2 linked regions of the Nothobranchius furzeri genome follow. The protein of the gene in region 1 binds, or shares a complex with, the protein of each later gene. Links are inferred from orthologs where the notes say so. Each region holds a gene or a part of one and is shown on either strand. Other genes may lie near its edges.

Region 1 (4,483 bases):
CATCAGAAAATCCTGGCTGCATGAATTGAAGGTGTGTCTATGAAAATCGGCTTGAATGAGCCAATTCAACATGAGAACACGCTGTTCAGATCTGACTGCCATTTAAGGTTGTTCATGTCTTCAGTCTGTCTGTTCAACGTTGTTGCACTGAGAGGTTTCATTTTCCCTGGCTAAGGCTGCTCGTGGTCCCCTGGGAGACAGCAGAGGGAGATCCGGAGCACCCTGTTACCATCTCCACCCGCTCATCCAGACTCCAGCGTCAGGAATGTGAAACAACCCCAGGGCCCATGAAGCCTGAAGTCCCTCCTCTCTGCCACAGCAGGGAAAAAATAATGAGTTCATCATGCTGTTGAAGAGAAGGTTTGGTGATTTAACACATTAAAATCTCATTCAGGTCATAAAGTCATAGGTGTGGTTTTAAGGAGAATTTTAAGAATTTAACAAAAACTACGAAATAAAAAATAAAAAATACAGGTGAGTTAAACATTTGAAGTGGCACCTTTTAGATTTGATGTTTGAATTTTTTTTAAAGAACCATCATCTGTGTTCTGGCTAACTTTTTTAGGATTGTCAATAATTACAGCTGGATTAATTAGTGATTAATAGATAATAGCTGATTAGATAGATTTCTTTCCAGTTTCCATAAAAAAAGCACATTAGCAAAACATTTGTACTACACATGAATCTAATACTTAAGATATCATATGTGAGGAATGACTCTGGAGGATTTCTTTTCCAGCTCCACAATATTCAATTATTTCATTTTGAATTTCTTTTTTCCTAAATAATTATTACAAGTTATAAAAGTTTCTAAAAGGACAAATTTCCCAGGCAGTCTATTGACCCCTCCAAAGTTAACAGAGCTAAGAACAGAAACAAACTCAAGAAATAATAAAAAAAACAACAATTTTTTAATGAAAGAAACAAACTTAAAAAAATCACGTTATGACATTCACAATGAATATTATGACACAGAGAAGGGGGAATCTGAAGATTTCAGTACCAACATAAATATTGTTCAATCAATGTTGTCTCAAATGTTCCATGTTAGGTGTTTAAAAAGTTGTCCAAATATTTATACATTTGTAACTCTTTTGCTTTTCATTTTAGTTGACATAACGTCTGAATTGTTTTGTTTCGAGACAGAATCAGCATAAATCAGTCTAATCTCAGATAAAACGCGCTTGCATCAATCTTCCACAAATTACATTAGCTCAAATGTTGGCCAAACACTTTTGTCGCCTCCAAGTGGAGAAAATGTAACAGTGCATATTGACTACGGGAGACGCCAGTTCTTAAAACCATCGCACCTTAAACCGTTACTCAAACTTCCATTTTCATCCGGGATACTCCTTGGCGCTTTATTTAATTGGTTGCTGACTAAAACCTTAATCTTATTGGCCAGAGAAGCTCTGAGAGGCGGGACATCATGTTCAGTTGCGATTGCGAGGGTGAAACCACCGGTATCCGGGTACTCCAGCACGTTGTGAAGCCGCTAGTTAACAGGCAGCTGCTACGCTGGTTAAAAAAAGTCACATTATTTCAAAGCAACGTTTTCATTTTAATAGTTTGATCAGTTGGTGAGTTGTTTCGTTCCTATTTATGCTATCCTATTTTCGAAAAAGCAAATTTTCATTTCGCCGCGCTTATTTGATTAACTGGGTTGGCGTCCCGGTCTCCGTCTATTTTCTGGCCTTGCGATGATGTTAGCTGGTTTTGGCCATTGTAGCTAAGCTATTACATAGGTGTTATAACTGTGCAGTTCGCTTAATTATTAAATTATTTAAAACACAAGGCTGTTACTGAAAGTTTGAAATTGTAACTTATTTGAAAATAATTATTAATCCCCAAGTTTCGCTTTTGCTATTTCAGGAAATAGCCACCGCCCTTTCAGTCGTGACTCCCGTTTTCTTTCTTTACAATATTACTTTCCACATTTGGAATTGTATGATCGAACCGAATTTGGTAGTGTTTCGTTGGTTTTATTTGTGTATAAACTACCACCTTGGGTGTGTGGTCGCTAAAAGCGAAAGGTTAGACCAGGGACCGTGCGGGACACGTGCTGGGGCTCCTTCCGTAACCTAGCAGCAGACGGGTCTCTGTTCAGCTTTGAGGCCGTGAGCTGCTCCAGCTGTCGTTGTTCAGCTCCGTGGTGTGGCCGGGCGTCGTGCCATGTGTGCTCAGGTTATATCTGGTAACGGCCGCCGGACTGGCCTTTAGTCCCTGAGGCGAGCGGGGGCCTCCATGACTCCATCACGGCTGGCACGGCGTGGCCTTTGTCTGCTTACAGTTCGAGCACCTTTACTCAAGACCGTGACTTAAGATAATAAACACAAGTCCAAGCTTATCCTCTGCGCGCATCGTGGCCCGGTGGCACATTCTGATCTCGATGGATTGCTTTGCTTGTTTCTTTAACTCGGTTTCATTTCATGATGGATGGGATTTCGCTGGTTGTCTTTATGAGGATGCTCATTTCTGGTTCTGAATGATCTGATAGAAGAAGGATTAGACCGTAGCTTCTATGTGACTAACGTAAATTCTCAGGTTTGATTACCTGTTCTTTATTTGCCTCCTGCCTGAGCAGAAACAGGTTCTCTCACCAACTCATTCATCAAATGTTGCCATAATGTGCTGCATAACGCTAGGTGCCAAAATTATTGTTGCAGGATTGTTAAAAACTAAATGAAGACAATAGTTTTTGATGACTATTAGTTATCAATGTTTACATTAAAACATTTTACAGTTAAAAATATTGTCTTTGATCAGGAACCTGAGCTACAAGTTTTTATTTCATTTTTACAAATTGATGTAAATATATCAAGACTAATGATTTCACTCTCTGTAGTCTGTGGAAGTAGCTGCCTTATGAATTTCTCCACTGTCGGATTAATGAAGTTATTTTATTCTGATTCTTGGATCAAATCACCAGTTTCTTTGTCCCTACTTGGAATCACAGTCCGTCATTTTCTTTGTCAGTGACACTTTTCTTATTTGCAGAGATTTCCAGTTGACCAAAGAAATGGTGATGGAGAAGCCAAGTGCCCAGCTGGTCGGGCGAGAGTTTGTCCGACAGTATTACACACTCCTGAACCAGGCCCCCGACTACCTGCACAGGTACGGAAGTCAGCTGCTTGTGGAGGGTTTGATTTTGAAGTTTAAATGGTTTTATGATAAATTGTTAAATATTTGTACAAACAACTAGTTTGTCTTTTTGTTCAGGTTTTACGGAAAGAACTCCTCCTATGTGCATGGTGGCCTGGACAGCAACGGCAAACCAGTAGAGGCGGTTTATGGACAATCTGTAAGTGGGCTTCACCCAGTTAGAGGCATTTTCCAGCGGCAATACTTGGTGCAACTCGGGAGGGTTCGGTTTGGTCTGATTGCTTTTGTCCAACGGCGCGTTTTGGTATTTTTCCCCTGCTTTCCCTCTACTTTTCAGTCCCTCTGTTTTGGTTCCAAGAGCTGAACCGGTATTTCGACTGTCGGCCACTGATTGGCTAGGGGGCGGAGTCACTGGTTGCTCCAGAGCCTTCTGTCTGCTGTCTGAAACCATAAAACTGAAGAGTGTTCAACATCACCTTTATTTTTGTGCAGAGTTGTTTCTGTGGAGCATGCAGGTCACCTCACAGTGTGTACTGATGACCTTGTGCTATTTTTGTCGCGTAAAGATCCCTGCACAAGCAAATGCTGTGGTCCCCCCCATCCGCTATGAGGGGTGCACCCACTTTTTGTCTCTGAGCAGGCAAGGAAAGCCAAGTACTCTGTGGTGAGCCGAGTTAACCCACGCTGCACTGAGCTGTTTTAGCCTGAGTAGTGCTGTTGGAAAAGGCCTGTTAGGTGTGTCTCATAGTCTCATGAATCTAGAATGTGAAATATTCATGAATATATTTTCTTTTCAAGAGTCATTGTTACACACTTGTTTTTTTCTTCCAGAAACTAAGTTTTCTAGGTAGTTTAACATTCTGATGAATGTTTATCAGTACTTTCTGATTTATTAATCCTCACGTAAATTGTTTTATTCTAATGCTTGTTAAAATAACCATTATCGCTCTTGTCATGTAGTTGGATAATTGAGAAATGATTGATTGCTGTTAAATGCCCAAATTAAATCTTCAGTTCGTTAAATCTTTTGAATTTTTTTTTTATCAGGAGATCCATAAAAGAGTGATGGCTTTGAGTTTCCGAGACTGCCACACTAAGATCAGACATGTGGACGCTCACGCTACTCTGAACGAAGGCGTGGTGGTGCAGGTGATGGGCGAGCTGTCTAATAACATGCAGCCCATGAGGAAGTTCATGCAGACCTTCGTTCTGGCACCAGAGGTTGGTATTAGATTATTAATATATTTTTTTCATTGATCTGATCAGTTTATTCACATGCATGTTTTTCCAGGGTACGGTGGCAAATAAATTCTACGTCCACAACGACGTGTTTCGTTACCAAGACGAGGTGTTTGGTGACTCTGACTCTGAGCCTCCAGAA
Region 2 (4,245 bases), on another chromosome or scaffold:
AAGCACGCACATTTTCAAACAAATACACAAGCCTTTGCACTTTCCCACACAAACACACAGAAGGACAAGCTTCATCACCAGAAATGAACTGAAAACAAATGCACCAAATCCCCGCAAATCTACTATTAACAAACATTTTTTGTAATAAATGAAGCTGCTTAATGACTTCATTACAATTCTTGAAATTAATGCTTACGTTTAATTTAATCCAAGCATGTTCCTTTCTTCCCTGTTGAGATGCATCCTCCCTGACAATAACCCCTAAAGTGAGCGCCACAGAATTTTATCCAATTCAATTCAAAAATACTTTATTAATCCCAGATGGAAATTGAGCCATTAGAATGATTAAACGATTTATTGTAATACGTTAATGTGCCAATTGTATTTATGTCATAAATCGAGGTAACACTGGTTTGTGGTTCAGCACCTTCATGCAGACAGCTGATAACGCTGCTGTGGGTCTAAACAGCCAGCGGAGCACACAGTGCTTCACGTTCAGAAAAGCATCAGCAAAGCGCTGGACAGATGGCTTTGAAGTCGAGTAAAGCCATTTTTTTAAAGCTCAGTTCCTCATGGACATATTCCACTGCTTATCCCTTTTCCACGAATTAGCATACACTTGACGGACACCCCTGGGTACAGTCAGCAGCATGACAGTGGGCTATGAAGGCTTCCGGGAGGCTCCGGGGTGTGGATCTGAGCCAGTTAGAAGGGGAGCCGAACCAATGAGGAGCCCACAGCAGATTAGACACCCACAGCTTCATGTCGCTTTTATGCAGCGAGTCAGGGATTTTCTTACAAGGCTTTTTTTTTTTCCTTTTTATGCCTAAACACTTAAGGTTTTCCTCATGCCCCCTTTCCTCTCCCGGTCCCTTTTGCCTCAAGTAATCTTTACTATGTAAATTGCAGCGTAATGTTGACTCTGGTGGAAAATGTCTCTCTGCAGACTTCCTGCTTTCTCTGATTCTGTAAAATGGAACGATTAGAAATTACCTGATTAATTATTTAATGAAATCAGACTTCATTTTTAAAATCCGAAGTTTTTACAACTCGTCATTGAGCAGCTCTTCAGAAACTATAGCTAGAACACCTAAGGAAATTAAACTGGACATTTAGTGCTGCAGCATTTACCAAATTTACCAAATGCATACACACATGCATGCATGCACACACAAACACCTCAAACTCCCTTGATAGTAATATGACTGGCAGAGGTTAAAGACAGAGTAGGCGGCTGTAATTGAACAAACATAACAATGTAAATATTTACTAATATTCTCCACTGGGGATACAGGCAGAATCCCATAATTGATTTGCTCTTTTTTTGGTTTTTACCCCTTTTACTCTTTTTTTTCCAATACACACACACACACACACACACACACACACACACACACACACACACACACACACACACACACACACACACCGTATCCAAACTAACTACCACAACAGCCTTTTCATTTACAGGTTTTACGCTCGCCTGTGCTCATGAAAGAGGCAGAGGTATGTTGGTCTGTCTATCCTCTTACCAGGGGTGACCTGTAGCCCATCTGGACGGGCGATGACAGGAGATCCCTGGGAAATAGCGGCGAGTGCGTCTCGGGGACGGTGCCCACGCCACTGGCTGCTAGTCCCGAGAGCTGCCCGTACCTCGCCATCATCTTGAGATGCTGCTCACAGAACACACACGCTCATACAAAGACACGGGAGGAGAGGGGAGCAGAGACAGTGGGGGAGGAAGGGGGAGAGAGAGAGAGAAAGAGAGAGAGAGGGAAAGGGGTGTCTTAGATGGGAAGGAGAGCAGACAACAGCAGGTAGGAAGGACAGAAGAGGGAGTGAGGAGGGGAAAAACCTTGAAGAAAAGAGGGAGGTGGATGGGTTTACGAGAACATTTTTGCACTCACACCAACACGTGTGAACATAGAGCCACACACGTCCACTCACGCCGTGCGTGCACATGAAGGCACACATACAGATTTAGCCTCAGGTGGACAATTTCACAAGCAAAGCCTATGTTTGATGGGCTAGATGGCTACGGTGGTTTTATTACAATGAGGCAGGGGCTCTGGCTCTCTGTTTATGATTACAAGGCAGAATGAGTGTGAGAAGCATAGCGGTCCCTTCATTTTCAGAAATAAACAGCTGCTGTTATCAATCATCCCTTCTGTCTTCTGGATGCAAGCACACCGAGGTGTAGGGACACACACACACACACACACACACGCAGACATACTATAACACAAATGACAGAATGGTTGGCAGCAGACATACAAAGGTGAGATGCAAACACAAAAAGGTAAATCCAGATATCTTTACCTCATTGCTCAACAAAGCAGCGTTGAGTGTTCGGCTTATTTCAAACATGTTCAGATTCGATGAGGTTTTTTTTCTGTCCTTTCAACTGTTAGATTCTCTTCAGCTTTTTTCTGGCCGTTCTCTGCAGTTGGGAGTCAGCCCCTCTTGTCCCAGGAACAAGAAAAAAGAAAGAAAACAGAAAAAAAGAGGAGAATAAAAAAATCCTCTTTGATTTCAGGATTTGGTGCTGTTTTCAGTTCCCTGCTCTTTTTTTCTTTCTCTCTCTCTCTCCCTCTCTCTCTCACTCTCTCTTTCTCTGCTGATGCTCTTCTGCTGGCTGCGGCTGTTTAGTGGAGGCGTTTGTGCCCGAGGTCTCCGCACACGTCTGAGGAGTCAATACGCTGCTGTCTTTTAAAATCTCCCCAGAGTTAGCACATTAAAACACGCACTCGGCGGGTCGGTGGGTCGGGCTGGTAGGCTGGCTGGCTCCCTTATCTGTCCCCCACACACTGGCTCACACAATACGCTCCGATCCTCACACTGCTCGCTAGCAGATTAGCCTGTCCCAAAACATAGCACTTAGTTTAAACTCCCCTCCCTTTTGCTCTCTCTCTCTCTCTCTTTCTCTCTCTCTTTTCCCCTCCACCTCCCTCTGCATCACTCCCTCTTCCCCCACTGCTCGTGCATTCAAGCAGCTACAGTTCACTCTGTCACCACAAGGTGGGAAAACTGTTCTAGCATCAGCATCAGCACCATCATCTCCTCCTCTTCCATCACTCAGATTTGCTTCTTTTCTCCTCCTTTTCAAGTGAGTTCACCAGACATGGATGCAGACACTTAAAAGAAGCTAGAACTTAAACTAGGATTAACGAACAAAATTAGGATGTGTGGGATTTAATATTGTTGAATGATTTCATGTTTTTGCAAATAAAAGAGATACAACATTTTATCTGCTTTAAAACATTCAGATTATTTACAGGAAATGCATCATTGGAACATAATAAAACACAGGGAGACTCAATGGGAGTTGGATTTTAAAAAAAAAACAGAGGAAAAATGCTGCTGGGCTGAGCGTCAAGGTCAGGTGGTTGTCCTTTTCCTCAGCAGGGTGTGGCACAGTGATGACGCAGCAACCAGTCACAGTCGTGGCAGGAGATCCCGACTCCTAAATGAACAGGAAACAGCCAGAGCATGACTCACTGCATTCATTGGGTTAAACAGTTTGGAAAATTCAATTAGATTGTGAATCTTCGTGTAAAAAAAAGAGACAAATATTGTTAAAAAAAGTTTATTTCTTGAGATAAAACAAATCGGCAGAGCTCAGAAGGTTGAGCGGATTGTCCGATAATGGGAAGGTCGTAGGTTTGATCCCGGCTCCTGGCAGGGAATTCTGCTATTGTGTCGTTAGGCAAGACACCCCGTCACCCTCCTTGTCTGCTGGTGGCGCCAGTTCTCAGCAACCTCACCTCTGTCCGTGCGCCCCCAGGGCAGCTGTGGCTACATTGTAGCTCATCCCCACCAGCGTGTGAATGTGTGTGTGAATTCGGGAATGACTGGTTGTGCTGTGAAGCACCTCGGGGGGTTGTAGAACTCTAGGAGGCGCTGTACAAATACAGGCCATTCTAACGTTGGTCGATGGTGTTGGACTGAGCAGGATCACGGTACCTTTGTCAGGACAGAGTCAAACAACATTTTAAATGTGCTTTTTGCCGTCTGAGATCAGAGTTGGAGGGGGATCGGCCAGTTAATAGCAGCCACATTGACACTGGACCATCTGTTTTGGTGGATGCTGCCCAGCACCAAAAGGAGGGGGCGGAGTAGAGGGATTTAGAGACAGTGACAGATAAAAATAAAAGTGAGCGAATGAGCGCATCAGCAACAGTAAACTGCAAAGCAAAGTGTTAACAAATTGTTCGATTCAACCAATATGTCAACAAGGAAACGAGA

Evidence for each region.
Region 2: g3bp1 (region 1) and elavl4 share a complex: the UniProt entries of both Homo sapiens proteins name them as parts of the TAU mRNP complex. The link is inferred for Nothobranchius furzeri from reciprocal best matches to the Homo sapiens genes G3BP1 and ELAVL4.

The regions. Positions count from the first base shown.
Region 1 is NC_091741.1:69,282,776-69,287,258, reverse strand, and holds the start of g3bp1 (ras GTPase-activating protein-binding protein 1), read left to right. Parts: upstream 1-1,445; 5' UTR 1,446-1,580; intron 1,581-2,997; 5' UTR 2,998-3,019; coding exon 3,020-3,114; intron 3,115-3,219; coding exon 3,220-3,301; intron 3,302-4,149; coding exon 4,150-4,323; intron 4,324-4,393; coding exon 4,394-4,483. UniProt on the Homo sapiens protein: Protein involved in various processes, such as stress granule formation and innate immunity. Plays an essential role in stress granule formation.
Region 2 is NC_091748.1:56,521,682-56,525,926, reverse strand, and holds the start of elavl4 (ELAV-like protein 4), read right to left. Parts: upstream 2,928-4,245; 5' UTR 2,368-2,927; coding exon 2,320-2,367; intron 1,674-2,319; coding exon 1,533-1,673; intron 1-1,532. UniProt on the Homo sapiens protein: RNA-binding protein that is involved in the post-transcriptional regulation of mRNAs. Plays a role in the regulation of mRNA stability, alternative splicing and translation.